Anolis sagrei: one gene and its partner. The protein of the gene in region 1 interacts with the protein of each later gene in a pairwise test. Links are inferred from orthologs where the notes say so. Each region holds a gene or a part of one and is shown on either strand. Other genes may lie near its edges. The genes, in order: DHPS and EIF5A2.

The links.
Region 2: the proteins of DHPS (region 1) and EIF5A2 interact in binary tests that used the Homo sapiens proteins (3 or more experiments, as listed by UniProt). The two-hybrid records come from large-scale screens. The link is inferred for Anolis sagrei from reciprocal best matches to the Homo sapiens genes DHPS and EIF5A2.

What each region holds. Positions count from the first base shown.
Region 1 is NC_090023.1:121,338,009-121,353,641, forward strand, and holds the start of DHPS (deoxyhypusine synthase), read left to right. Parts: upstream 1-9,838; 5' UTR 9,839-10,047; intron 10,048-10,262; exon of another isoform or gene 10,263-10,318; intron 10,319-15,633. UniProt on the Homo sapiens protein: Catalyzes the NAD-dependent oxidative cleavage of spermidine and the subsequent transfer of the butylamine moiety of spermidine to the epsilon-amino group of a critical lysine residue of the eIF-5A precursor protein to form the intermediate deoxyhypusine residue.
Region 2 is NC_090023.1:252,242,804-252,258,272, reverse strand, and holds the start of EIF5A2 (eukaryotic translation initiation factor 5A-2), read left to right. Parts: upstream 1-9,005; 5' UTR 9,006-9,114; intron 9,115-12,956; 5' UTR 12,957-12,980; coding exon 12,981-13,145; intron 13,146-14,114; coding exon 14,115-14,219; intron 14,220-14,904; coding exon 14,905-15,036; intron 15,037-15,303; coding exon 15,304-15,363; 3' UTR 15,364-15,469. UniProt on the Homo sapiens protein: Translation factor that promotes translation elongation and termination, particularly upon ribosome stalling at specific amino acid sequence contexts.

The DNA of each region.
Region 1 (15,633 bases):
GCTTTCTCTTCCAGTCTGGTGTTAATTCCTTTCTTTGAGACAGGAGGATTATTGGTAGCTGATTCTATCACCTGCACATATATTTTAATACTAGATTAAGAACTACACCAAAACAAAGTGTTGAAGGCTTCAACACACTTCTGCACACACATCCCAGATATGTGAGTATGAGTGAGAAGAATAGCTGCCATGTTTACTTATTACAATAATGAACTCATCTTGATAATTACAGAAGGATTTGAGTAAACAGGGTAATGGTTTAGTCAAAGGAAAGATGGAGACATTTTCCAAGTACCTTATGAAACTGAAGAGCTGGAGGAGGTACATTGGCCAGCTTGCTTATCTATGTTTCCCTGAATCACTCAGCTAAAATGCAGCACTTTACTGTTCTGAACATTAGCTTCTCTTAGACACTAGCTGTATAAAAAGACATGCCATTTGTAAAAGTACCTCATGAGAGTTGAATGTGTTTCATTATCTTTCTAATTCAGCAGTTATGGGATATTCTTGCAGAGAGCAATGTGGACTACCTGCTACGCTTGTGAAAGCATCCTGTTTTTCTCTGTGTGAGGAAGGACATTTCTATATGGAGATGGCATTTCACGTTCCTCAGCAATAATAGGACAAAGAGTCAAATGAAGGATCATTCATCTCAGTGTACTGACTTTGGTCACATGCAATGGTATAATACTTCAAAGAAAGCAATACCTAGGTGTGACAAACCAACACAAATGCATTTCAACCTTGTGAGGCAGGACAGGTTACAGGCAGTCTTTGTCTGAATTCTAGAGTTATAACATTTTTTTAAAAATCTATCATGTCCTGGGCAGGAGAGAAATTGGGCTTAGACACTTACAGAGAAAGACACACTCCTAAAAATAATTCACTGAAGCGAGGCTCAGGGAACAGAGACCAAATTCCCTGGTTGGCTTTAGGCTGGTCTCGTCTCTATTCTACCCATATGAAGACAAATGTTCTTTTTACTGCTAAAGAAGGAAAAGGCTGAAGTGGTAAAGCAGTAACCTTGGATTATTTGGCTTTCCAATAATTTCTGTAAATTCGAGTCACTCGAATGTGCAGAGAAATGAAAACTGGGATCTATAGCTCCCTCTCCATTCTCATATATTTCTACAAAGATGAGGAAAGACTGGATTTGTTACACTTTATGATCTTGTGGAAATACAGATTCTTGATATACTAGACTCCTTGCAATATATGTAACTTTATAGAAATTATGAAAGTCAAAATGTTTCAATTTAAACTCTTGGCAGGTTAATATTAGGAGACAGTGAAAAAGAGAATTACTCCAGCACCAGTCAATTATTAGGGAAGTAACTGGGTTGTTGTAGGTTTTTCCGGGCTATATGGCCATATTCTAGAGGCATTCTCTCCTGACGTTTCACCTGTATCTATGGTAAGCATCCTCAGAGGTAGTGAGGTCTGTTGGAACTAGAAATTCTGTTGGAACAAAAGATTTCCCCAGGCACTAGCAAGCCACCCCCCCCCCCAAAAAAAACAACTGTCAGGCCATCAAATGCTAATCAAGTGGTCAGTTGAAACATTCACACCTAGCTCCAACAGACAAGAGTTCTTCGTCCCACCTTGGTCATTCCACAGATATATAAACCCATTTTCCTAGTTCCAACAGACCTCACTATCTCTGAGGATGCTTGCCATAGATGCAGGCGAAACATCAGGAGAGAATACCTCTAGAACATGGCCATATAGCCCGAAAAAACCTACAACAACCCAGGAAAGTAAGTTCAATTAACTCATTAAAGAATTATCCCAAAGATATCCAATAAATTATTAGTATGGGATCTCAGCTGGCTAATTTCCAATGCTAGTAACCTGAAAGAAACACATGAAAAAAGTGCCCTCTAAAGGATAGAGGCATTTTATCTGGCAGAACCTTCAAAGAAGCAGTCTACTTAATCAGATATAACTGCATCTCCATGTTATGACACCAGGGCTTTAAACAGGGCAGCCCCACATTTCTGCAGTTCGCAGAATTCTAGGAAATGTAGTTTGGGAAGGTTAATACCTCTGTAGTTGAGAATTCAAAAGGTCTAAACAACATTTCTCAGAGTTCTGCAGGCGGCAGAATTCAGGGCTGAATGCTTTAAAGCCCCTATGTGATAAAAAAAGTGAAGCACAATCCAAAAGAACTTAATTCAAATAAAATCTTTGTCATTAAGATGGTGTTTTTTCTTTTGCAACAGACTAACACAACTATATGGAGCTGCTGGTGCTAGCCTTGTGTGTGTACAATGATGGGTAAAGGTAAATGTTTCCCCTGACATTAAGTCTAGCCGTGTCCGGTTCTGGGGATGGTGCTCATCTTCACTTCTAAGCCAAAGAGCCGCCGTTGTCCACAGACACCTCCAAGGTCATGTGGCCAGAATGACTGTATGGAGCACCATTACCTTCCTGTAGAAACGGTACCTACTGATCTATTCACATTTGCATATTTTCTGCTAGGTTGGCAGAAGCTGTGCCAAACAGCAGGTGCTCACCCCTCTCCCCGGATTCGAACCGCCAACCTTTCGGTCAGCAAGTTCAACAGCTCAGCTGTTTAATGTGTTGCACATAAAAATATACATCTGAAAGCAAAGGGGAAGTAGAAATAAAGCATAAAGTAAAAGCTGCAAAACAGCAAGTCCACTAGGAATTGAATCTGCAAAGGATAGGAAGAAGAAACCAAACTTTGCTTATCACACAAAGAATGGGGAAATGCCATTTTTTTTTTACAAATCCACAAGAGGAAATTATACCAATTAATGAGAGTTCAGTTTCCCAGATTGCTTCTTTCACTTCTCTCATGGCCATCAGATCCCTGATCATTATCTGGCATATCTAACAACTTTAAAAGCTAAACATTCCCATTGATGATGAATAGGGTGGAATTCCCAATTGTCACAATTACTTTTGATCCCAGGTCTGCTGCAATTGGCAGCTATATGCTATTATTACTTGGTTGTGCTAAGGTCCAGTGCCTCAGTGGAGTATCTCCTGAAAATTACCCAGATGAACCTGTTTTGATCCTTGGGTCTTTGTAAACCATATTCTTCTGAACAGGATAGTGGAGAAAACAGTTGGTAGCTATCTCATTCTTTTGGAAGAGGCAAGTCCCTATGAGATGAAAGAAAAATGGCCAATGTCATACTCCTTTTGAGTGGGCCTATGCTTTAAATGATTAACTGTATGTAAAGAAACAGAAGAGATATATTTACTAATTTGCCTAAACTTGCTTAACTTGTGCCTAACTTGCTTAACTTGATATGGCTCTTCCTCAATGCCATACTTAGTGCCAATGTAATGTAAGCTGATTGCTTTTAAGATAAATATGGAATGCATATTGGCCAATAGAATAGGTACAAATAGTTTCTTGTAAAACAGGGGGTTTCAAGGCAATTGAAACGTAAGTTTAGAAAAGCGTATAAAAGGGGCAACACACCTAGTTTTTGAGTGTGAGTTTGTTTTTCCAGTGAGAGTTGGACTGTCATGTGTTTCTGGCCAGAAATAAACTGTTGACTTCACCTGATCCTGTAGTCCAGTGGTTCTCAATCTGTGGATTCCCCCAGATGTTTTGGCCTTCAACTCCCAGAAATCCTAACAACTAGTAAACTGGCTGGGATTTCTGGGAGTTGTAGGCCTAAACATCTGGGGACCCACAGATTGAGAACCACTGCTGTAGTCTGGCTGCTTTATTCTTCCCACACCTCCATGAATCAACTACACTTTAACCCTTGCTAAGACGAAGTGAGATGTAGTAAAAATAAGAGAGGAGAAAATTATTCTTTCCAAATGGCTGCTGCTAATTTTCAAAACTTCAGAGGTTTTGCATTTTATCTGAAGGGCTCCAAGACCACTGAAGAATAGAGGCCAAAGGTGGGAATCATGCATCTCTCCAGATGTTAATCGATTGCAATTCACAGGAGCTTTAACCAGAACAGCCAAGGACAGCTATGACTTACAGCATAAATAACAGTATAAAACATCTAGAGGGATGTAGGATTCCCAACCGTGGTGTGGGGCCCTGTCTTGCAAACGTTGATCCTCAAGGTGTTTGCGATTTCATCTTCCAGACTTCCTGACCATTAACCATGCTGGTTGGGGCGCCTGGGAGTTGAAGTCCCCAACATCCAGTAGACCAATGTTTGAGAACCATTGGTATAGTCAATCTAGTGTGGGCATCACAACATGCTTTCCATTGCTGCAGCTATCTAGTTTACTGAAGACTGTCAGTAGCTGAGAAATATCTCCTCTGTACAGACATTAAGAAAGACTCTCAATTGGCAATTTGACAATATGGGAACTCAAAACACCTGCTTTAGCAACTGTTGGTTCACTACATGAACATTGTGAGACGTCTAAGCATCGAGAGATCAAGCAACAAATGGCTTTCTACAAGCAACTGGGTGGTTTTCCTTTGTAATTCTGTGGCAGGCATCTGATTTGCTGTTCATTTCTTCGTCTTCTGTATTAAAGGTGAGCAAATTACTTTCTCTATCAGCCCCATTAGAGAGTATTAAAAAGTGTGAGTCAGGGTTAGAAAAACACTATACAGAGATAATAAGATTGGAAATAGAAATGGCAAGTAAAATACACTGGGGTAGAAAAGGAGTGGATAAAATGCATTTGGAGGCAGTCTGCTAGCATCCCTCAGTCACTCCAAACTTCAGAAACCAATTTTCCCTGATCAAAAGGAGAGGTTGAATTGCCTCTCCTGTAAGCTTTTAAACAGATTTTAACTTTTTTTTAAAGAACCCTGGCATTTTTGGCAGTCTGCACATTCCCTAGGGGGTCTCCAGATCAGAAAACTGTGCCCCAAAGCTACCACACTTGCTCAGCTCTAGTGGAGAATAAACTTAAAACACAAGTTTAGCAAACATGTAGAGCTCTGAATTGGGCCAGGCAAAGATAGGAAAAGGTGAATGCAGCAATAAGTGAGTTCAAAAAGTTGACAGGGATTGCTAAAAGCTGTAAAATATGTGTATACACATATACCCAATGCTGTCTAGCTTTGTATTCTCATCATGGCTCTTCCTTCCTTCCTTTCCCTCACACACCTTGTCCCCTCTGTTTCTTTCCTTGCTTTTCCTCATACAGCTTCCCCCTCTTCTTTCTGTTTTCTGCCTTTGTTGCTCTTCATTTCTTTTTCTCTTCCCTCACTTTTGTACATTTTCTCCTCTTTCTTTCTTTTCTTCCCCTCATACCTTTCCCTGTTTTCTTTCTCTTCTTCCCTGCTTTCCCTCCTTTTTCTGACTTCACCCTTCTTTGTCTCTTTCCACACTTCCGCTCATACATCTTAACTAGCAACAGCCACTCTGTTTCGCTCCCTTTCTTTTCCGGTCACATGACAAAGGGCCACTTTACCTAGCAACAGCCAATCCACTTCATTCCTTTTCTTTCCCTCAGCTCTAGTTCAAAAAAGGATGTTGTTTTTTTTAGTTCAAATCTCTAAATTAAAAGTATGTGTGCCAAGTTTAGATCCATCAAGCCAAATAACCTTTGTTGTACAAACCAACGAACAAACGTATATAGAGTAGATTCTCGCTTATACAACATAAATAGGCCGGCAGAACGTTGCATAAGTGAAAATGTTGGATATAAGGAGGGATTAAGGAAAAGACTATTTAACGTCAAATGACATTATGATTTTACAAATTAAACACCAAAACATCATGTTTCACAACAAATTGACAGAGAAAGCATTTCAATACACGGTAATGTTATGTAGTAATTACTGTATTTACGAGTTTAGCACCAAAATATCACAATGTTTTGAAAAAGCTGTGGATTTGGGCAGGAGGCAGAATGTGTTGGATAATACAGAACATTGGATGAGCAAAGTTTGGATAAGTGAGACTCTATTTTACATACTTTGACTTCTATAGATATAGAAGCAATTTACACCAACATATAAATACACATGGTATCACCTGCATAACAGTGTCATAATTGCAGGAAAAAACTGCCCTCCCACCCTCTGGCTATAGGCCAGGAAAACCAAGAGAAACACATAAAACAATTCAATTGTTGCTCTGTTTATTTTAAAGCCAGGAGCGTCATGATGAAGGTGGGCTGTCAGGACCACAGCAGGAGAGAAAACGCTTAAATGCCACCTCTTCATGTGCTGAAATCCCATGAAAATGAGCACCTACTGTGCCTATTAAACAATAAACCCCCAGCTGACAAACTCCCAGGTGCTTTCAGCACCACTTCTTGTTCTGCCTACGGTACGTGCAAGGTGGCTGGATCTAGTTTTATTTTCTGGAATAAAATCTGTCATTTTTCAATGTATTGACGAACACAAAGACCTAGACGCTAGAGTGAAAACTGGAGAAGGCTCTTGGGAAGAGAACATTTCATCAGGTGCTGCTTGTGATCTGGCCATTGCATGGCAAGCCGAAACTGAGTCAGGCGGTGCCTCAAACCCTGGGCAGGAGAAAGGTGGGGGGAAAAGTAAAATACACACCAATTGAAATTTCTTCCTCTACAAAACTGTTGAAGACACAGGGGGCCTCTCTCCAGTTTTCAGTCTGGCTAACCTTATTTGGGCAACTCAGACCAGTTTGAGACCACTTTGACTGCCATGACTCAGGCCCCTTCCTGTATCCCAGGACATTGCCCTATATCTGTTTTAAACGAGATTATGTTAAAGGGGTTTAGGAAGCTTAAAGAATGGTTTAATTGATTTTAAATGCTTTAGTTAAGAAACCGCTTTGCTTCAAGAATGCTGTTAATGCTTAACTTGTGTGCAAAGAAAATTTGAGGAATTGAGGAAGATGCTTGAGGAATTGAGGAAGATGCCTGAAGTCATATTTAAAAAAAAACCTGCTTAATTGGGATTTCACTTGCTTAACTTGGCACACTGCTTGACCTGGGAGGTGTGCCTTTGAATGTATCACATAGTAAAAAGCTAATAAACGCATAAGCACAAATGGATTGGTTTCTTGAATATACATCGTGTAAGATGATTGCTTAAAGGTAAAAATGCATTGCACAGGAGTGGATTTGGGCCAATAAGATGAGAACAAATGATTTCCCGTAAATATGATTTCACTACAATAGGAGTCTCCACTGGCAGATAATCTGGAATAAGCAGATAACCTGGGATCATATACTGGGACATAGGGGCAGTGTGGAAGAGGCCTCAGAGCTGTACAATTCTGGGATTGTGCGATATTTAACTTATTTATGTTTTATCTCTAGCTCATTATGTTTTGTATTTGTGTTGTTGATTGATTTTGTATTGTATTTTATTGTATTTTAACATGTTTGGGTCCCTTCGTGGGAAAAAAGTGGGATATCAATAAATATTTATTATTATTGTTACTATTCTCTATCAGAGAGCTTTGGGGCCACAACAAACTATAAACCCCACAATCCTATGGCAGTTCAAAGGCCCCTCCTAGACAGGTGCTATATCCCAGGACCTGATCCCAGGTTTTCTGTTTATCCCAGATTATCTTGCAGTGTGGGGTGATAGTACAATAGCTGTGTCCGGAAGCTACGAGCATAATGCACAATCCCACAATGGCGGTTGTGAATAAGGGAAAGGACCACGTGGTCTAGAGAGGGGGCGGAGTGAGAGCGGGGGAGCGGCACAATGAGGGCGGGAATATACTTCAAAGTTGCATTTGGTGGAAGGATACAAAGGAGGGGAGGGTTAGGATAAGGTTTAGGGTTAGGATTAGGGGAAGGTTTAGGGTTTGGGTTAGCAGGCATGTAGCCGGGGGGCGGGGGCTTGAGGGGCTTCAGCCCCCCCCCCCCCCGAAATTCTCATGGTGGTTTGCGAAAAGGCCTTACTGGTGCATTATTTAAACTGTTATGTTTATTCATATCATGATCTGATCACCATACTCAATATATCCCATATGCATGGGGGTATTGGGGTAATGATACAAAAGGTTTGCTAGGGTAAACCCTCTTTCACTCAGACTCAGCCCCCCCGAAACCCCCCCTGAAAAAAACTCACCCCCCCCCCCCCCAATCGAAATCCTGGCTACGGGCCTGTGGGTTAGGATTAGGGTTTTACCATTAAAGAACTCTTACATTCCTTCTATAACATCTGTGTCCAGCCTGGCTTACATTACCCCCATCTCGGTCACATGTTCCGTTCTGCGTTGTGCAAACAGCGGCCCCAAAGTGGAAACAGCGTAATGCTCGGACCTTCCGAACCCAGGTATAATACAATTACCCACTGCAGACTCATATAATTCAGTTTAAAGCAGAAAACCTGGGATCGGATCCTGGGATATACGGCCTGTCTGGAAGGGCCCAAAGTGATGTCAAAGTGCTATAATTCTGCTGTGGTGCCTACACGGGGATTTAACTAATCAATTATATATGCAAATAAGTGTCTAGTCAACAAAGGGAGAAGATATCCAATGCAATCCTTACCACAGACCAATCTTCTACCAGAAACTGGCCCTCAGGCCTCTTCCACACAGCTGAATAAAATACCACATTATCTGCTTTGAACTGGACTATATGACTATATGCCCCCGGTGGCGCAGTGGGTTAAAGTGCTGAGCTGCTGAGCTTGTTGACCGAAAGGTCGTAGGTTCAATTCTGGGGAGCGGCGTGAGCTTCTGCTGTCAGCCCTAGCTTCTGCCAACCTAGCAGTTCGAAAACATGCAAATGTGAGTAGGTCAATAGGTACCGCTCCAGCGGGAAGGTAACGGCGCTCCATGCAGTCATGCCGGCCACATGACCTTGGAGGTGTCTATGGACAACACTGGCTCTTCGGCTTAGAAATGGAGATGAGCACCACACCCCAGAGTCAGACATGACTGGACTCAGGCCTGTAGCGAGGGGGTGGTTTTAGGGGTTCAACTCCCCCCCCCCCCGAAATGTTTCAGATTTTTTTAAAAAACCTGGTTTACTCATGAATTTTAACTGGTTAACCAAATCCCCATGCTAAGTCTATGAGATGCAAAAAATTAAGAGTCCCTCCAGAACTGTAAGAACTATCTCAAGCAAATATTGACAATTTATTCACACTGTCATTACTTGCAGCAATAGACGATGTAGTGAAGCAACCAAGTTGGGTGTGTGTGTGTTGAATGCTCTCATTAAGGAGGCCAGACTTGGTGGAGGTGATTGACAGGGGCGGAGCTGCAGGCTATGGAAGGTTGCTCTGCCCCCTGCTGTGCTCTTTGCTTCAGCTGAGCTAGGAGGCAGGTTTCAACTCCCCCCCCCCCAAAATTTTCAACCCTCCCCGAAATAATTTTCAACCACCACCACCACCACCCCCCCCCCCCCCCACCACCACCACCACCAAAATTGTCAACCCTCGCCGAATTTTTTTTCTGGCTACGGCCCTGACTGGACTTAATGTCAGGGGACAACCTTTACCTTTTATATGACAATGTGGATAACCCAGACAGATGACCCAGTTCAAAGCAGATATTGTGGGATTTCTGCCTTGATATTCTGGGTTATATGGCTGTGTGGAAGGGCCCCCAGTCTGAAGGGAGCGCTTCAATTGCTACAGGAAAGCTGTCTGGCCTCCCAGGGGAGTTTAGCCTTCAACTCCCAGAAGCCTCTGCTGCACTAGCCAACGGTTAGGAATTCTGGGAGTTGAAGTCCAAAACACCAGGTAGCCCTCCCAGAAGCAACACCGCCTTTCATTTTCGCCTCCATATCATCTTCCTCTTTTGCCCCTACGGAAAGAAAGAGGGTAAAGAAAACCTCTTCATCCAAACGCTTTCTTTGCTGCCCCGCTTACGAGCCACTTGGCTGTCTTTCCTGGGCCGGAAGGGAAGCCTTGTTTGGCCAGCTTCCGCCCAAAGGTGAAGCTTTCCGCCGGCCATCTTTGTGAAGGGAGGGCGGGGGGCGGGATTGGGAGGGACGCTTTTCAACGGAAGCGCGAAAGAGCCGGCTTTGTCCTCGCCTCTCGGGACCCGCTTAAAAAGAGGGGTGAAGGCGTGCGTGTCTGGAGGAGTCGCCTCAGCCAGAGAGGGGAGGACTAGAAGGACGCGGGCCTGGGGACCTCCTCCTGCCTTGGAAGTCGCCTCTAACGCGGCTCTGCAGCGGGTAAGGCAGAGCGGAGGGCATTGGTTGCCTCTCCCTCGCACTGTGAGGTCAAGCGGGCCTCTCAGCCCCCCAAGTCAGGGCCCGGCGCCCCTTCCGCCCACCGCCACGTGAAGGGCTGCCACCGCGCCATGGGGAGGCCAAGGACCACCTCGGGGTGATTCCCATTTACCCCTATTTCCTTTCTCTCTCCCATCTCTCCCTCCTTCTCGCCAAAGATGTTGGAATCGAGCTGGCGTTTCAGGACTCTGGACTGCCCCACTTCAGGCCGCAGGTGAGAGGAGATGGGGAAAGTCAGAATGCCATTCCTCCTTCTTTGTTCTCATGCAGGAGGGCAGCCCCACTTTGGCCGATGTGTACCACCTCTCCAGGCATCTCTCCGTATACAGCTACACCAAGCCTGGCCAAACTTCGACCCTCCAAGTGTTTTGACTCCAGCTCCCACAATTCCTTCCTTTCCCCTTCAGCCACTTAAGCAGAAAAGGCCTGAGGTTGTTAGCAGTTGTGGGAGTTGAAGTTCAAAACACCTGGAGGGCCCAAGTTTGCCTATGCCTGCTCTTGCTGGAAAATCTATATTTATTTTTTAATATAGCAGATAACTGAAACATCATTATCTTTAAAGACCATGAGACTACTGATGTCTGTCATGATGATCATCGTAGAAGTTACTTCACCTGTAAATAATCCACAAACAATTTACACTCAAGCATTTGATCAACTGAGCTAAAGTGGTTTGAGAGCACTTTAGCAGCACCCAGAGCACCTAAACAGTCTCTCTCACTCTCTGCTTTTGTTTGAACATTGTTAATTGGAAAGGAAAACATGAAAAACAATACGATATCAATACGATAGCCCCAGCTTCTGCCAACCTAGCACTTCGAAAACATGCAAAATATGAGTAGATCAATAGGTCTGCAGGAAGGTAACAGCGCTCCATGCAGTCATGTTGGCCACATGACCTAGGAAGTGTCAATGGACAATGCCAACTCTTTGGCTTAGAAATGAAGATGAGCACCAACCCACAGAGTTGAACACAACTAGACTTAATGTCAGGGGAAACCTTTACCTATTTATATCCCGCCTTCTGTCGCCATACAGAGACTCAAAGTGGGTCACAATGAGTCACAGCTTAAAATATACAATGTACAAATATTGGAACAGTATTCAACATCGTTACTATTAAAAACAATTCAAGATAAAACCATACAAGCATATAAACCACAAATTACAACACATTTATCTTTAAACCCCTGCCTGAATAAAAGGTTTTAGCTTGCTGCCAGAACAGTGGTTCTCAGCCTTTGGTCCTCCAGGTGTTATGGACTTGAGATCCCACAATTCCTAATAGCTGGCAAACTGGTTGGGATTTCTGGGAGTTGAAGTCCAAGACGCCTGGAGGACCACTGTGCCCAAAGGACAGCAGGGAAGAGGCCATTCTGGTTTCCCTGGACAAGGAGTTCTAGGGTTGATGGGCAGCCAATGAGAGAGAAAACCCACTCTCTCGTTCCCACCAACCAAGCTTGAGATGGAGGTGGGACCAAGAGACGGGCGTCTCCTGAAGATCTCAGGGCCTGGACAGGTTCGTACAATGGGATGCGGTTGGCCAAATAGCCTGGGCCTGAACACTAGAAAAGTGGTTCTCAACCTGTGGGTCCCCGGGTGTTTTGGCCTACAACTCCCAGAAATCCCAGCCAGTTTACCAGCTGTTAGGATTTCTGGGAGTTGAAGGCCAAAACACCTGGGGACCCACAGGTTGAGAACCACTGTTTACCACTCCTGGGTTCAATGCTAGGGAATCCTTGGATTTGCAGCAGGGAACACTAAAGAGCAAACTACAATCATCACAATTCCATAGCATTGAGCCTGGGATATCACGCTGGTGTCAAACTGCATGAATCCTGGAGCATAGATGTGCCTTTGGTTATCCATTACAATTCTGTGACTGCTTTGCAGCAGAAGTTGATCATAGAGTAGCACTGGAGGACAAAAGGTGCAGCCACGCTGTAGAATGAATGAAATTCAACACCACTTTAGCTGTCATAGATCAATGTTACAGAATCACAGGGCTTGTAGTTTCTCATTAGTCTTCTCTGCCAAAAAGTGTTGTTGTCTCACCAAACTACAAACCCCAGGATTCCATAGCATTGAGCCACAGCACTTAAAGTGTCAAACTGCATTCATTCTGTGGTTAAGCGCTCACTCACTAAACTTGCCTTCTTTCTGAGTTATTATGTCATCAAGACTCAAGCTGCATAGAAACTAATAGGCTAGCTCACATGTTCCTTATCCCACCTAGAATTAGAAATTCTGCAATGAAGGTATTAGACAAGATCCTTAAATATAAACATATATTACTGAATTCCAAGTCAGGATGGCCCATACCTTAGTATTTCCAGAGGCTATGCATGGTTGGACAGTGAAGAAAGCTTACAGCAGGAAAATAAATTCATTTGACATGTTGTGATGAAGACAATTCTATGGATACCATCAACTGCCAAAAGGAAAAAAAGAAATTCACTCACCACACTGTCAAAACTGTCCTCAATATTATTATCCTTCCTATACAGATCTTCAGTATAGTCTCGCCACCTTCTCTTGATCTCTTCAGTTTCTGTTAGGTCCTTGCCATCTTTGTTGCCATCCGCTGAAAGTAAATTGTCTTTAATACTTGTGTTAGGATTCAGCATGTGGTACAAAAAGAATAAGATATGGCTCAATGATTCTCTAGCTTCAAATATTTAATAGTACAAATAATCAAGAATATAAGGCAGTGAATAATTATTATTTAAGTCTGAAATGGGTTGCCTTTGAAAACTGTCCGGAAGCTTCAACTGGTCCAACGGACAACAGCCAGATTGCTAACTGGAGCGGCTCTCAGGGAGCATACAACCTCCTTGTTGCGCCAGCTCCACTGGCTGCCAGTTTGCTACCGGGCACAATTCAAAGTGCTGGTTCTAGCCTATAAAGTCCTAAATGGTTCTGGCCCAACTTACCTGTCCGAACGTATCTCCCCTTATGAACCATCTAGGACCTTGAGATTATCCGGAGAGGCTTTGCTCTCGGCCCCTCCTTCGTCCCAGGTACGTTTGGCGGGGACGAGAGACAGGGCCTTCTCAGTGGTGGCCCTCTGGCTATGGAATGCTCTCCCCAGAGAGATTAGATCTGCTCCCTCCCTCTTAACGTTTCGGAAGCAACACAAAACGTGGCTGTTTGAGCAAGCGTTCACAAACAGAGTAACGGATACAGATAACTGATATAGGAACTGATGACTGATTATGGAACTGAACAATGCTTGACAATAAGGAGACACCAATGATGTTGTTTTTATTGTTGTGAGATTTATGTAATTTTAATGTTTTAAATTGTATTATGATACTATGTATACTGTTTTGTTGGAAACCGCCTTGAGTCACCGATAGGCTGAGAAAGTGAGAGAAATCTACACCTCGGAAGGGGAATTCACTCCTTATGGGGGAAAAGTGTCTCCATTGAAGTTTTATTGCCAATCCTTGTTTCCACAACAAGCCAATTTTTTCAAAATCCTATTATCACAGGGACAGAAAGTGAGGTGAAATCTTCTGAATTGAGGCACATATAGCAAAACAAATCCCTATGCTATCCAAAGCTACAAAAAATTAGCTGGAGTTACACTTTTAAAATGTCCCCTTTCTGACTTACATACAAATCCAGCTTAAGAACAAATCTAGAGAACCTATCTTGATCATAACCTGGAGACTGTTTTTATAAAAGATTTAGGATATGCCTAAAATGAAGATTGAAATCAAATCCAGATTTCCAGTAAATCAAAATCAGTGTCTCTGTATTACAGAGCATTTAATTAAGGTATAATAAAAACAATGACGTGTCAGATCAGCATAGTGTTGATGGGGATGTGGTTCTTTGGGTTCTTATTGTAATTTGTGGTGGGTACCACACTATCTCCCTCACCTGGGAAGACCTATTATTTATTTATTTATTTATTTTACTTTACTTGTATACCGCCGTTTCTCAGCCCAACAGGCGACTCAACGCGGTTTACAACAAGGATAAAAAACAATCAGTGATAAACAATTTAAAACCATAAGAGCATAGTATACAAAATTGACATAACAATAAGACAGTGTAATACATCTCATAACTAGAATTGTGATCCAATTCGTCGTCCATATTTCCATTCCTGTAATCAAAAGGAGAATTGGATCAAGATGTGAATGTGATAGTCCTGTGAAACATCATTATGGACCCAGGAATACAGAAGTATTCTATATACAGAAAAGCTTTAGTCTGTTTTATACTTAGAACAGCCAAACAGGTTACAGTTAGTAATTGGAAGGGGAAAAATGACAGAAAACCGGTGTAATAAATCTTGGAAGTTAACTCTAATAGAGAAGCTGACCTGTCAGGTCAGAAAAGCAAACAAAGATAATCCCTCATTTGAAGCAGCTTGTTTTTCATTTATTGAGTACATGAATAATATGGAAAATAGAGAAAGACAGATGTCAATAGCACATGGAACCCCATGTACAAGATTAGTACATGATCTAAAGTGAGAAATACTAACAGCAGTCTGGAATATGACCTTTAACTGAATTTTTCTGCCCGTAACAAGTAAAGTAATGACTTTTATTTTAAAAACAAACCAAGACCACATCAAAAGCAACAGAGCAGAAAAGGATAGAGAGAGATGGGTATTGAAAGACTGGGTTACACACAGAGTTTCTGGAAGCAATGCCAGAACATTTTCATTGCTACCTTTTTTGTAAAATGTGACCTGTGACAATCTTCTTTTTTCTATACTACCACTCGTCACTCAAAATGAATTTGGCTTTTTTCCTGTTATAAACATTCAAACCAGGAAAGTATGGATTTTAAAGAAACTAAAATAGTACTCTTTGATTTCAAATTGATCTCAGTGGGATTTCCTTGTAAATGGGATTCTTTCTTAGGGCTTAGAATAATTGCCTGTCTGTCCTTTGTACATTGTAATTCATAATCCTCTCAGTCAATATAATTCTGCCTAAAGATAGAGCAGTGGTGCTTTTATGTATATAAAATATAAATCTATCTGCTTAAGGAATTGATCAGTTTTAGTTGTGTATTTACAATCCATGACCTGCCCCACTTGAAAATATTACATGTGCTTGTGTACGTTATGTGTACACATTTACATATACAAGGTGAGCATCCCTTATCTTAAATTCTGAATATCCAAAATACTCCGAAATCTAAAATATACTTCAGCATAGATGGTGGAGATATAGAGTCTTTTGCTTTTTGATGGTTCAGTGCACACGAACTTTGATACATGAATACAGTTGTTAAAAGAGATTATGTGTATAAGGTGTATATGAAGCACAGATTTATTTCCTCTTTAGAGTTGGGTCCCATCTCTAAGATATCTCACTATGTAAGGAAAGGCATGGCTGTTATGTATATGTATCCCATTATGTATCCATATGGAAATATTATTTTGGTATTCCAATTGCAAAATTGGAGACGATGTAGTCACCCAGTTTGGAAGGGCCATACTGTGATGGCACACCCGAGCCTTTGTGGAAAATTATATTCTCTGGCTTTACTCGGTGGCTA
Region 2 (15,469 bases), about 130 Mb from region 1:
CAAGCTCAATAAAAAATAGCAGGAAATGAACAAAGGATTCCTGACTCACAATGGGGAAATGTAAGCTTAGCAAAACAAACCATCCACAGCTGCAGAGAGCTATGAATAGGTTTGTCCACAGATGCTATTTAGATGGATTTTTTTTCACAACAATACTCACCATTAGTTTATTGTTTAGACCCATTTCTATATACTGTACATAGCCTCTATTACCCAGTTGTGAGTGATTAAAATGGCAAGGCCTTTACTGCAGGATACATTCAATTGATTTTGCTTTATTACAGCAAAATGAAACAGCAGCTGACAGTGGATTTTAATAAAGAATTATCAAGCTTTCCCTCCCTCAGCACCCATGGGCACATTGTTAGGTGCCATTTGGCTACTGAAAGAACACCAGCAGCATTACCTTTTTACATAAAGGCATGAAATCACATGTGCAAATCTATTCTATGGAGAAAAGAAAGAAATTGTAGTTAACAGTACTGGTCCAGAAGAAGAGTTGAAATCCAGGAATAATAGCATTGAAATAATAGAAGTGGGAAGGTATCAAATTCTACACTACACAGAGAAGCCATTGAAATACACAAGGAGGAAACCTTGAAAATGAACAAAATCTGGCTACCAGTATTAAAAAAAACTCTAAAATTACAACAGCACAACAACAGAGAGGAAACAAACAAGGACATCTAATCACCGCTCAACAAAAGTTTGTTCTAGGCACTGTCAGGCCATTATATGCTAATCAAGGTGGTCAGTTGAAACATTCACACCTAGCTCCAGCAGACAAGAATCCTTTGTCTCACCCTGGTCATTCCACAGATATATAAACCCTTTTTCCTAGTTCCAACAGACCTCACTACCTCTGAGGATGCTTGGCATAGATGCAGGCGAAACGTCAGGAGAGAATGCCTCTAGACCATGGCCATATAGCCCGAAAAACCTACAACAACCCAGTGATTCCGGCCATGAAAGCCTTCGACAATACATTCATGGTAATGTGAGCAATTATTTCCTAGTGCCCAAGGTGTAGCAAAGCAACATTCCAAGGAAATTCATGAAGGGCTATTACAGAGTAAAATGGGAAAGGCAAAACGGGCTTGCTGTATGTCACCTCAAAATTCATGATTATTCAAAAACAGATACAATGCAATATTACCTCTATCTGACACCCGAATATCTGAAACCGCAGATAATAGTGAACCCAATATTTTTACTATAATGGCTTGGAAGTATGCCATACAACGGCATTGGAAGATCTAGAGAGGCCCACAAACACAATGTTGAAAAAAGAAACTTTAGGATTGATAAAAAAAATGGCAATACACCTGAAAAACTGTCAACAGAACCTTAAAATAACTAAATACCATTGCATCAATAAAGTACAGTAACTTCATTCCAATTTGCTGTTTAAACTCTGGAAGATAATTTCATCACAACCCTCATTGATAAGAAAATTAACTTTTTATAGTTGACTGCATTACTTGTGAGTTATTGTTTCCTAGCTTGTTGCACCTAATGGCATCCCAGATGCTGTTGGACTATAATTCCCAGCAGCACAAGCCAAGGCAACCAAAAATGAAGAATATTCGGAGATAAAGTCCAAAAACATATGAAGAGCTACATGCCTTAAATTTTTCAATGTTTATTTTTTTCTGATTTCAGGGTATTGTGGTAAAAGAAACAGTGCAAAATAACTGATATACTGACTTTTTTATTTCCATGGATTTTTTTTTCATTTCAGTATTCCTTTGAGGACTCTATGCAGCTTGAATGACTTTTTTGTGATACAATTAAGCATCTCTACAAACAACTTCAATATATCCAGCATTGTTTGGCTGAACTAAAAAGATGTTGTCTGATATCATATGCTAGGTTTTGCCTTGTTCTTTCAAAATCACTAGCACCATCTGCTGAACAAAACCACGAAATACATCATCCAACAGGATTGCCTTTTTGGAAGATATAACCTGGTATCTGCAAGAAGTTTTAGATGTGAAGAAGTGTATGATTGGGAAAACATTTCAGTCTGGTTTTAACTATTTTCTGCCAATTTCAATTTTTTTTTAATTGAATGAAACCTGGTTTTAGTAATTGCCCAAGGGAGAGGTGAAATGCAATGTGTTATGGACAGCTGCAATGTAAAAATGCAGCACCATAACAAATTCAGGCCTTCTAGTCACAACTCAATGGATGCCGACACTACAGATAGTATTGAGCAAGTATCAGCCTGTAATCAGAGAGGTATTTACTACAGAGTGAACCACTGTGAATGCTATGGAATCCCTGAATAAAAATGCATAGGACTGCATTGCAACCATCAGTAGAATTATTATTAACAGTGACCATCCTTACATGATCATTGTGATGACTGGTATAAGGAAAGCTGGCATACTTGACCATACTTTGTATCAGAAGTCAGTCAGACTGGACTTACTATGTTAATTTATCATTTATTTCTAAACCACCATCAATGTACATGGAACTTTACAAACAAAACAAAACCCTAGTTCCTTATCCTTGGACTTACAACCTAATTCAGATATGACACAAAAGGGGGGTGGCAGTCTGGGATGAAATTACTGTATATATAAATCTAGACACTTTAAAAAGTCAACCCCCCAAAACTTGGGACATTTTATACACAGTGTAAGTAAAGGTAAAGGTAGGTAAAGGTAGTCCCCTGACATTAAGTCCAGTCATGTCTAACTCTGGGGTGTGGTACTCATCTCCATTTCTAAGTCGAAGAGCCAGCGTTGTCCGTAGACACCTCCAAGGTCATGTGGCCGGCATGACTGCATGGAGTACCGTACCGTACTGTGTAAGTACCGTACCGTAATTCTTAGCAAAAAGGGAAAGATTCCCTTCACTGAGTACAATGACCAAAAAAACCAACCCTTTTTAATGCCTGGGCAGACAGAGATGGCTAGCCCTGGGGCAAAATTGGCATTTTTCCCTCTCCAAGAAATTACTTTCAATTTATGTAAGGGTCATATCAAACCCCATAATTTTTCCCACAAACCTACCTAAACTTATATACAAGGTCAACCAAATAAATGATTTGCGGGCAGATCTTAGGGCAAAAATTAGGAAAGAAGAGGTATCTGCTGAACGTATGTACTCAGCACATACTCCTTGTTCTCTCCTTCCATGGGCCTTTCATCTAGTGATGCATACTTGGGCATACTTGGGCTCAGAAGCAGGAGTACAGTGTCTAGATTGAGTAAGGGAAACAAATGGGCCCCACGCTATTCTGCTTTGATCTAACCTCACCTGGAATACTGTTGCCAGTTCTGGGCACTGCAATTCAAGGATATTGACAAGCTAAAACATGCCCAGAAAAGTGTAATTAAAATTATGGAAGATTTTGAACCTGAGCCATATGAGGAACAGCTGACAGATTAGGTTATATTTAGCTTGGAGAAAAGAAGACTGAAAGGAGACATGTTAGTCATATTTTAAATTATGTCAGTGGAATATGCTGCCTCGCAGGGTAGTGGAGTCTCATTCTCTGGGAGTTTTTAAACAGAGGCTGGATGGCCATCTCTCAAGTGTACTTTGATTATGTGTTCCTGCATGGAAGAGGGTTGGACTGAATGTCCCTTGGCATCTCTTCCAGCTCTATGATGGAACTATGCTTGTCTTTTCTCCCTGTCTTCAAGGTCAGGACAATTTCAATTGGCATGATGGGAGGATCTTTCATCTGCTTCTAGCCTAGGTCATGGGAAAGCTGTGCCTCTCCTTTATAATGCTGAAAATGAATTCCTGTTCTTGTATGAGATCCTGCCAGGAAAGCTACAGCCTGACTTTTGCAAATGATTGGTGCAAAAAGTGAGGAGAGATAATGTCCCAAGCAGTATCTGTATCCACAGACTAAAAATAAGCTTAGTCAGGAAAAAGAGTTTGTGCTTTCATCAAACATGCCTCTAGGATATGGCTATATAGCCCGAAAAAACCTACAACAATCCAAAGAGTTTGTTCTTTCATCAAACATACCAAGGTTACAGGTGATACAACTCTGTGGTTAACTGGAGACATTTTTCCTGTCATCTGCAATTCAACAGAATATGTCAATGATCATGGCACCAACTCAAACCGCACAACAGATATATTGTCTCACCCTCACCATTGGCTATAAAGGCTAGGCCAGAGAGAGCCAATAGTCCAAAATCTGGGAGGTCATAGTACTCTCGTGCAGTATCATTAAGGCGATTCTGGATTGACAAAGCCAGCATGGTGTAGTGGTTTAAGCAATGGACAATGACTCTGGAGACCAAGATTCAAATCCATGGAAACCCACTGGCCGACCTTGGGCAAGTCACACTTTCTCAGCCTCATAGAAAGGTAAAGGCACTTTCTCTGAACAAATCTCTCCAAGGAATCACAGAATCATAGAATCAAAGAGTTGGAAGAGACCTCATGGGCCATCCAGTCCAACCCCCTGCCAAGAAGCAGGAATATTGCATTCAAATCACCCCTGACAGATGGCCATCCAGCCTCTGTTTAAAAGCTTCCAAAGAAGGAGCCTCCACCACACTCGGGGCAGAGAGTTCCACTGCTGAACGGATCTCACAGTCAGGAAGTTCTTCCTCATGTTCAGATGGAATCTCCTCTCTTGTAGTTTGAAGCCATTGTTCCACGTCCTAGTCTCCAGGGAAGCAGAAAACAAGCTTGCTCCCTCCTCCCTGTGGCTTCCTCTCACATATTTATACATGGCTATCATATCCCCTCTCATCCTTCTCTTCTTCGGGCTAAACATGCCCAGCTCCTTAAGCCACTCCTCATAGGGCTTGTTCTCCAGACCCTTGATCATTTTAATCGCCCTCCTCTGGACACATTCCAGCTTGTCAACTCTATGATAAGGTCGCTTTAGAATACCCACAAATCGGAAGCAACTTGGAGGCACACAACAGTATTTCCACAGAGAAATAATAGTTTCTGAATAAAACGAAAATGTGTTAGATTTATTTATTTATTTATTTCAGACATTTATATCCCATCCTTCTCACCCTGAGGGGGACTCAGGGCAGCTTACAACCAGCAACCATTAGATGCAAACAACAACAATAAAAACACAGTCAAACATTAATTAAAACATCATCATTAAGTTTAAAAGACCATTTAAAAGAGACAAGTCCAAATCCAAGTCCAGAGTAAGAATTCAAAATCCATTGTCAATCACATATTTCTTTATCATTGTTGTTGCACAGAGTAAGTCCTGAAATGGAAACAGCCTTGAGAAATCTTCTCTCCGTGGGAAGAAAATTGTTTAAACTATTTGTTTTCTTCAAGGAGAAAACTAGTGAAGAATGATATTCCTATTTCATGATATATCCTTCATGTTATGAAGAGTGGGATCCATACAATAGTTCGTGCATTAGGATATTGATGAAACATGAATGAAACATACAGAATAATCACAGTGTGTCTTAAACCTATACTACCTGTTGATAAACTCTACAAGCTTGCTGACATTGCCCCCCCCCCCGGATGTGCGATGGGAAGTTGCTGCTAAATGTGAGATAAATAAGGTTGAATACTGTGAAAGCCAGGTAGTACATATTGGATTTTTCATTTGCCTTCTGTAAATAAAAAATATATTATACATATTACTAATAATATTGCAGTATAGTAGTATAAGTAAAGGTAAAGGTTTCCCCTGACATTAAGTCTAGTCATGTCCAACTCTGGAGGGGTGGTGCCCATCTCCATTTCTGAGCCAAAGAGCTGGCGTTCTTCGTAGACACCTCCAAGGTCATGTGGCCAGCATGACTGCATGGAGTGGCGTTACCTTCCTACAGAAGGTATTGATCTACTTACATTTGCATGTTTTCAAACTTTTCGGTTGGCAGAAACTGGGGCTAACAGCAGGAACCCACCCCACTCCCTGGATTTGAACCACTGACCTTTCAGTCAACAAGTTCTGGGTAATAGTATAATAGCTGGGTCCAGAAGCTCTGAGCGATACGGAGATGCTACATCGCTTCTTCGGGAGCGCTGTTTGCACAAGAGAGACTTAGCTAATGTAAGCCAGGCTGGAGACAGATATAGAAGGAATGTAACCCTTGGCCTAACCTTGAACCGTACTGTAAGCCTAAGCCTAACCCCTTACCCTAACCCTTTGTTGTTGTTCATTCGTTCAGTTGTTTCCAACTCCTCGTGACCTCATGGACCAGTCCACGCCAGAGCTCCCTGCAAGCCATCACCACCCCCAGCTCCTTCAAGGTCAATCCAGTCACTTCAAGGATCCCATCCATTCATCTTGCCCTTGGTTGGCCCCTCTTTCTCCTTCCATTTCCCCCAGCAAAATTGTCTTCTCCAAGCTTTCCTGTCTTCTCATTATGTGGCCAAAGTACTTCATCTTTGCCTCTAATATCCTTCCCTCCAATGAGCAGTCGGGCTTTATTTCCTGGTTGGATCTTCTCGCAGTCCAAGGCACTCTCAGAACTTTCCTCCAGCACCACAGTTCAAAAATCTTCCTTCGCTCAGTCTTCCCTATGGTCCAGCTCTCACATCCGTGGGTAGTATAGTAAAATATAATGATACTAATATTGTCCCATGCTAATAATATATTGTATACACATATATTACTAACATTGGAATATAAAACAATATAATAATGTTGTAATATAATACTATATTGGAGAGGCACTCCAAGTGGCCAGTTTTATGGGGTGGGTATGGACAGGCCCCCAGAAACATCAGAGTTATTTTAATGCAGATGCTTCTGGGATAAAGGCCTGTCTGGATCTGGCCTCAGTTCAATGCAGATATTGTGGAATTTTTCTGCCTTTTATTTATTTATTTGTCGTGTCAGGGCAACCAGTCAATTATATTACATTTGTAACAGAACAAAGCAAACAAACAGACAAAATGCAAAATGTGTGAGTTTGGTAGTTGATTAAATGTCCTTTGACCAGTAGCTGGCCACTTGGAGTACTTCTACTGTTGCTGCAAGGAGGTCCTCCATTGTGCATGTGGCAGGGCTCAGGTTGCATTGCAGCAGGTGGTCAGTGGTTTGCTCTTCTCCACGCTTGCATCTCGAGGATTCCACTTTGTGGCCCCATTCCTGAAGGTTGGCTCTGCATCTCGTGGTGCCAGAGCGCAGTCTGTTCAGCGCCTTCCAAGTCGCCCAGTCCTCTGTGTGTCCAGGGGGGAGTCTCTCATTTGGTATCAGCCACTGGTTGAGGTTCTAGGTTTGAACCTGCCACTTTTGGACTCTCGCTTGCTGAGGCATTCCAGCGAGTGTCTCTGTAGATCTTAGAAAACTATTTCTAGATTTAAGTTGTTGACGTGCTGGCTGATACCCAAACAGGAGATGAGCTGGAGATGTCTCTGCCTTGGTCCTTTCACTATTGGATGCTATTTCCCAGCGGATATCAGGTGGTGCAATACCGGCTAAACAGTATAATTTCTCCAGTGGTGTAGGGCGCACCTCAGGATAATGCGGCATGTCTCATCCAGAGCCACATCCACTGTTTTAGTGTGGTGAGATGTGTTCCACACTGGGCATGCATACTCAGCAGCAGAGTAGCATAGCACAAGGGCAGATGTCGTCACTGTATCTGGTTGTGATCCCCAAGTTGTGCCAGTCAGCTTTCGTATGATATTGTTTCTAGCACCCACTTTTCGATTGATGTTCTGGCAGTGCTTCTTGTAGGTTAGAGCACGGTCCAGAGTGACTCCCAGGTTTTTTGGTGCCCTGCAATGCTCCAGTGGGATTCCTTCCCATATTTTCTGCCTTGATATTCAGGCATATAGGGCTGTCTGGAAAGGCCCTCAGTATTGGTAGCACTAAGTAGGCCTGCTCCCTATTATCTATGACAGGGGTCCTCAAACTAAGGCACAGAATACAGCCCTCCACGGTCATTTACCTGGCCTTCGCTCAGGGTCAACCAAAGTCTGAAACGACTTAAAAGCACACAACAATCCTATCTCACCAGTCAAAAGCAGGGCCACACTTCCCATTGAGATACTAATAATCTTATATTTATTGAAATTGTATTGTTGAAGGCTTTCATGGCCAGAATCACTGGGTTGTTGTAGGTTTTTTTGGGATATATGGCCATGTTCTAGAGGCATTCTCTTCTGACGTTTCGCCTGCATCTATGGCAAGCATCCTCAGAGGTAGTGAGGTCTGTTGGGACTAGGAAAATGGGTTTATATATCTGTGGAATGACCAGGGTGAGACAAAGGACACTTGTCTGTCAGAGCTAGGTGTGAATGTTTCAACTGACCACCTTGATTAGCATACAATGGCCTGACTGTGCCTGGGGCAAACTTTTGTTGAGAGGTAATTAGATGCCCCTTCCTGCATCCTCTCTGTTGTTGTGCTGTTGCAATTTTAGAGTTTTATAATGCTGGTAATATAATGCTGGTAGCCAGATTTTGTTCATTTTCATGGTCTCCTCCTTTCTGTTGAAATTGTCCACATGCTTGTGGATTTCAATGGCTTCTCTGTGTAGTCTGACATGGTGGTTGTAGGAGTGGTCCAACATTTCTGTGTTCTCAAATAATATGCTGTGTCCAGGCTGGTTCATCAGGTGCTCTGCTATGGTTGACTTCTCTGGTTGAATTAGTCTGCAGTGCCTTTCATGTTTATTGAAATTGTTCTTCATTTTAATTATTGTATTGTTTTAAAGTGTGTTTTTGCATTACAAATAAGATATGTGCAGTGTGCATAGGAATTCATTCATGAATTCATGGCAAGCTCAGCAAACGCGCGAAGCAACTGAGACTTTTTGAGTCAGGCGGCTTCCCGTACAGGGATGATCCAGCGCAAGCTGCAAGAGAAAAACCACACGTGGAAGTCGCATGAGGAGGAGAAGAGGGGGTGGGGAGAAAGCCCTGGCTCAATCCGCGCAGGGCAATGACGACACCGACGAGCTGTACGCTGGAGAGAACAGAGTGGGCGGGGCGATGGGGACGAGTAGCCAATCAGGAGAGGAAGAAGTGGGAGTCTGGGGGTGAAGAGCGCATGCGCAGGGTTTCCTCCTCGATGGCCACGCCCCAACCGCCTCGACGCGCAAAAGACGGCACCCTTTCCGGCAGCTGTGCGCGTGCGCGTTGCTGCGACGCTCCTTCGGTCTTTTTTTCCCCCTTCCCGTGCCGTACAAGGTAAGCGCTTCCCTGACGCCGGCGCGCGCGGCGCTTTCTTCGTTCCATTCGACCGTTGGAAGGAAGGGAGGGGGGAAAGGAGGGAGGGGGGAGTGGAGTGGGCGCGAGGCCCGGCGTTCGCGCGTACCCGCGGAGCCTTTTTGAGCCCACGCCGCTTTCCGTACCCGGTTAATCCAGGCCTGGAAGGAAGCTCGGCGCTCATTCATACCACAGGGCTGGGAAATGGAGATCCCAAAACCGTCCCTTAGTGATCCCTCCTCCTCCACATCGTGCTTGGGTGCCTTGATTTTGTAATAACGTGGCAAGGCGTGACTCAGGTTTCGAGGAAGAGGCGCCCCTGAGTCTGCAAGATCTGCGCAGGCCTGCTGGCACGGCCACCACTTCGGCCCTCCCTCCAGGTGCTTTGGACTACAACTCCCACCATTCCTAACAGCCGGCAGGCTGTTAGGAATTGTGGGAGTTGTAGTCCAAAGCACCTGGAGGGCAGGAGTTGGCCCATTTCGCTGCTTTCGAATGTTTCTGCCATCCTTTCCCTCAGGGCAGGTCAGTTAGAAGGAGTTTTATGAGCAAAGGCACCATTGGATGGCTGCCTTCTGCAGTTGCTCCTCTTTTCATGCGTCTTTGAAGTTGCAGGGGATGGGCTACCCTCCAGTTTTCAACACACACATCTTCTATATAAATAAAAATGTAATGCTCGTTTGTGGGATTAACAGAACTCATGCATCTTTGAAAGTGCAGGTGATGGGCTACCCTCCAATTTTACACACACACACACAATCTATATCAATAAAAATGTAATGCTCGTTTTTGGGATTAACAGAACTCAAAAACCGCTGGGGGAATTGGACACAAATTTGGACACAAGACACTTAACAACCCAGTGTATGTCCTTCACTCATAAAAACACTGAAAAACACAGCAGAAGGGACTTAAAAAGCCCCAAAAGGTAAATGACAATACAGAAAAGGGAGGGAAGGGGAGGAAAAAAAGAAAGAAAGAAAACAAAGAGTGAGGGAAAGGGAGAAGGAAGCATGGAAGCAAAGAGAGAAGGAGAGAAATAGGTAGAGAAGGAAGAAAAGAGAGACAGCAGAAGAGAGAAAAAGGGGGAAGGAAAGAAAGAGATATAGAAGGAAGGAAGAACAGGAAGAAAGAGGGAGTGAAGGAAGGAGAGAAAGGGAAGGTTGGCCACAGCAAAGCGTGGCTGGTACAGCTAGTACATAAATAAAAATGTAATGTTAGTTTGTGGGATTAATCTAACTCAAAAACCACTGGATGAATTGACACCAAATTTGGACACAATACGCCTATCAGGCCAACAAGTGACCATTACTCATAAAAACACAGCAGAAGAGACTTAAAAAGCCAAAAAATAAATAATACATTACAGTGCATGCACAAAACCACATATATACACACACAAAACACATATACACAGACTGGGCCACAGTAACGCGTAGCAGGGGACGACTAGTGTGTGTGTGCGTGTGTGATATCCCCCAGCTGGTAAACTGGCTGGGATTTCTGGGAATTGTAGGCCAAAAATATCTGGGGACCCCAGGTTGAGAACCATTGTCGTAGAGACTCGCTTATCCAACATGAACGAGCCAGTAGAATGTTGGATAAACAAAAATGTTGGATAACGAGGGGTTAAGGAAAAGCCTATTAAACATCAAATTACATTATGATTTTACAAATTAAGCTGCAAAAGATCATGTTTTACAACAAATCAACAGAAAAAGTAGTTCAATATGTGGTAACGTTATGTAGTAGTTACTGTATTTATGAATTTAGCATCAAAACATTGCAATGTATTGAAACAATTGTGGATCTGGGCAGGAGGCAGAGTGCATTAGATAATACAGAACATTGCATGACCAAAGGTTAGATAAGCAAGACTCCTCTCTCTCTATGTTGTACACAACATAGTCCGGTTTGTTCAAGCATTTCTATTTATCACAGCTATGCCCGGAGCCCCTGGTAGCACAATGGATTAAACCCATGTGCCAGCAGGACTGCTGACCAAGAGGTCAGCGGTTCGAATTGGGGAGAGCAGGTTGAGCTCCCCCTGTCAGCTCCAGCTCCCCATGCGGGGACATGAGAGAAGTCTCCCACAAGGATGGTTAAAACATCAAACATCTGGGCGTCCTCTGGGCAACATCCTTGCAGATGGCCAACTCTCACACCAGAAGCAACTTGAAGTTACTCCTGGCACGAATAAAAAACAAAAACACAGCGATCCTTGTGTCGTTGTTTAGGTCTCATCCCCCAAGGCAATTTGTATTGAAATATACGCAACCATGTAAAGTGTACCATAGCTAAACATACAGATTAAGGTAGCAGTGGGCCCAGATTTAGACGCTTGCATTTGTGTGGCTCAAGGGGACTTCTCAGTTCCATCTTCCCTGTAGCATCTCCTACAACCCTTGAAAGTGTTACACAGATAAAATGAAGACTGCTAAAAGGAATGAAATAAGGCAGAATTTACCCTCAAGTTGGCCTTCTCTGAAACCTTCAATCTATGAAAGCCTACATACAATCGTGTAAGGTACATTGTATATTCTGTCTAAGTCTCACCTTTGAGATTTATTTCCCTCCTTTTTATTTGAAAATTGGCTGCATTTGCCCAGAAGTCCTGTAGTTGTCCAACATATTTTCCAGTGGGGTACCCAGACAACTCACAGACAATTTATGATGGTAATAAACATACCCTATTTATACCTCACAGCACTTGAAATGCCTCTGAAGATGAGGGTCTTGGTTAAATTATCACTATTTCCTTGTCTTGTGTGCTTTCAGCAAAAGTAATTGGGTACTCTAGAATAGTCTGCTTCTAGGCACAATTCAGTGCTGATTATGACCTTTAAAGCCCTAGACAGTTCAGGTCCAGGCTATTTGGCTGACCATGTCTTCTTGTATGAACCTGCCTGGACCCTGAGATCTTTGGGAGAGGCTCTTCTCTCAATCCCACCTCCATCTCAAGCTCAGTCAGTGGAAACAAGAGAGTGAGCCTTCCTTCTGGGTGGCTGCCCCTCAACTCTGGAACTCCCTGCCCAAGGACCTGTTGTCCTGGCAGCAGGCTATAACCTTTTTATTCAAACAGGCATTTAAAGATGCAGGTATTTAAGATCTAGTCAGCGGGTGCTATGGTTTTTAACTTTGAATATGTATGGATTTCAACTGAATTTTTAAAATACTGTTTGTATGCAATTCTGTTTTAATATTTTTATATTTGTATATTTTAAAATGGATACCAATGCTTTTATGTCAAACCGCTTTGAGTCCCCTTTGGGGAGATAAAGCAGGATATAAATAAATATAAAAACTCTGGAAACAGAAATAATGCCAATGAAACCAGGTGCAAATGAATAGAAAGTGACGCGAAATCCTCTGAATAGGGGCACAGACAGCAAAACAAACACCACAGGGGTGTTAACCCTTCCCGATGCTATCCAAAACTAAAAGATATGTTTATTTGGCTGGAGTTACACTTAAAATGTACCTATTCTGACTTGGATACAAATTCGACTTGAGAACAAATCTACCAAACTTATTTGTATACAGGACTCCCTGTATAATGGCATGGTAAAGTGATGTCCCCCGTATAAAATGAGAAATTGAAGGTTTCATTTTTGGATATATTTTTCCCTGGAATATTTTGTAACCATGGGATTAAATCCCTAGTTAGAGTATCCATGGTTTAAAGGGACAACTTTCTGGTCTGTGATAGCAGTGGGAAGAATATGAATCCATATTTGCCATATGTTCTGTAAACATTGTAATTGGATGATATAACTGATGGATAAAATGTGTTCAACGACTGATAAGGAACTGTTGAATTTTAGTATTTTCTGAAACACACTTCTGCCATGGCTGATGAAGTTGACTTCACCACTGGAGATGCTGGTGCATCTGCCACTTACCCAATGCAGTGTTCTGCTCTTCGCAAGAATGGCTTTGTTGTGCTGAAGGGACGTCCCTGCAAAATTGTGGAGATGTCAACTTCCAAAACTGGCAAGCATGGTCATGCAAAGGTAATCTCTTCCTTCATTTCTGTTCTATTCCACAAATGTCTCTAAATTTCAGCCGTCAAATACCAAACTTTATACTCAGTTGCATTTTGTGCAACCTCAGTTTTAAATAATCTGCCACTTACTGGCATTTCCATCCTAGTTGGCTGCCCTCTTATTCTGTTTCTGATCTGGATAATCATCTTGTATCACATGTGAGTGAGATGTGAATTTCCCGATATTAGAAGCATAGTCCATCAATAAACAGTTCTGTTCTTTGCATGAATGTACATCATATTCCAATGAGAATAGTCTGGACTGTGAATGAGAATAGTCTGGACTGTGTAATTCCACCTTCCTACCCCAGAAGTTAAGACCAGCCACTCAAATTGTTTAACCAGCTTTTCTTAAGAGAACCCCTATCCAGAGTAACTGGCCCTGCCTCTCTGCTTTTCGATCATAGTGTTCCTGCCTGATGGATGCATTTAGGCAGGCAGAAAGAGACAGCTTGGGGTTCTCCCTCTTGCTTGAATTCTCTGAAAACTTCCAGACTTGGAGGATTCTAGGAATAGATAAGGAGGTTACACATGGAGACTGATGTGCCTTCATTTTTCAAGAGGAGAGAACTCTCCACCTTCTTTGCACAAAGAAGTGCTAAACTGCCAACTTGGCAGGGCAGAAAGTGTGAAAAATCACAGCATGTCCCTCATTGGCAAAATGGTATGTGTTAAGGACATCAGCAAAGCTTAAGGGCTCTCCTGTGTCAGATCTTTGTGATGTCATTCCTTTGGAGAATCCACCCCTTCAGACCTGATGTTTTTCGCAACTGTTCAGAATTCATATAATCCCAACTAGGCCAGAGTAGTCTGACTGAGGTGAAAATTAAAGGTCATGCTCTCAAATTCCTTTTTAGCCAAAGTGAGCTGAGGGTAACAAGACAAGGGTAGCATGTTATTTGTATTCTAAGTATCTGACTTGTGAATATTCTCCTAGGTCCATTTAGTTGGTATTGATGTATTCACTGGCAAGAAATATGAAGATATTTGTCCTTCTACTCACAACATGGATGTCCCAAATATCAAGAGGAATGATTACCAAGTAAGTATACATGAAAATATAGACCATGGCTTGACCTTTGGGACTTTAGATCAGTGGTTCTCAACCTGTGGGTCCCCAGATATTTTTCCCTTCAATTCCCAGAAATCCTAACAACTGGTAAACTGGTTGGGATTTCTGGGAGTTGTAGGCCAAAATACCTGGGGACCCACAGGTTGAGAACCACTGCTTTAAATGTTTGACTGCAGTAGTTATTGATCTAAATGAGCTGTCAGAACTCCAGACACTAATTGAAGACTTAACTCTTTCCCAGCAGGTCTGCCCAGTCAGTTTTTTAAATTGTGAATTTTAACTTTACATTTTGTTAGGATTGGTGTCAATCTTTGTTCTGTGTCTCAGAACAAAGATTACATTCTGTGTGTTTTAACCCTGATGATGATGGCTGCCACATTTCAGTCAGTAACTATTTATTCTCCCTCCACCTTTCCCTCAATAGTGGGACTCAGCAGGTTGAAAAGCTAAATATTCAATTCATGGTTTAGAAAAACTACCCCAGTTAAGTGAAGCTATGTTCTCTTGACTTTCTAAGAGCAATACTCAGAGTCAGATTATAAAACTGTGTAGTAGTAAGTCTGAATAGCTGAAGCTGAGGTTAAATGCCTGCCCCATTGACTCAAATTTCTTCAGATGGCTATTAACTAAGATTGTTTTACCAACTTTCCCACAGCTAATCTGTATCCAAGATGGCTACCTCTCTTTATTGACCGAAAGTGGTGACGTTCGTGAGGATCTGAAGGTTCCAGAAGGTGAACTAGGCAAAGAAATAGAGGGAAAATACAATGCAGGCGAAGATTTCCAGGTAAAACTTTACTAGATGAAATATTTCTTCGAATATTTTTTGTTAGTTAACAATTACTCAAAAATCATTTCCTTTGCCTATTCATATTTTATTCTGATTCATATTTTAATGAGGGTGGAGATTGGTTTGCTAAATGTTAAGTTCTGGTTCCAATAGTTCTATTTTAAGTTTCACCAAACCATTGGCACAGTTACTCTTGAAGCAAATGTAATTTAATGTACTTCAGTCACATAATCTAACTATGTGTTTGTTTTTTTCCTGCTGTAGGTTTCTGTTATGTGTGCAATGAGCGAAGAATGTGCTGTAGCCATAAAACCTTGCAAATAGGACCATCTGGATTTGGGCAGTTGCTCAGGTTCCAGCAACTGCAGATCTTGTATTTTAGTTCTGATTATCACCAAAGCTATAACCTTCACTAGCAACCTCGTGTCTT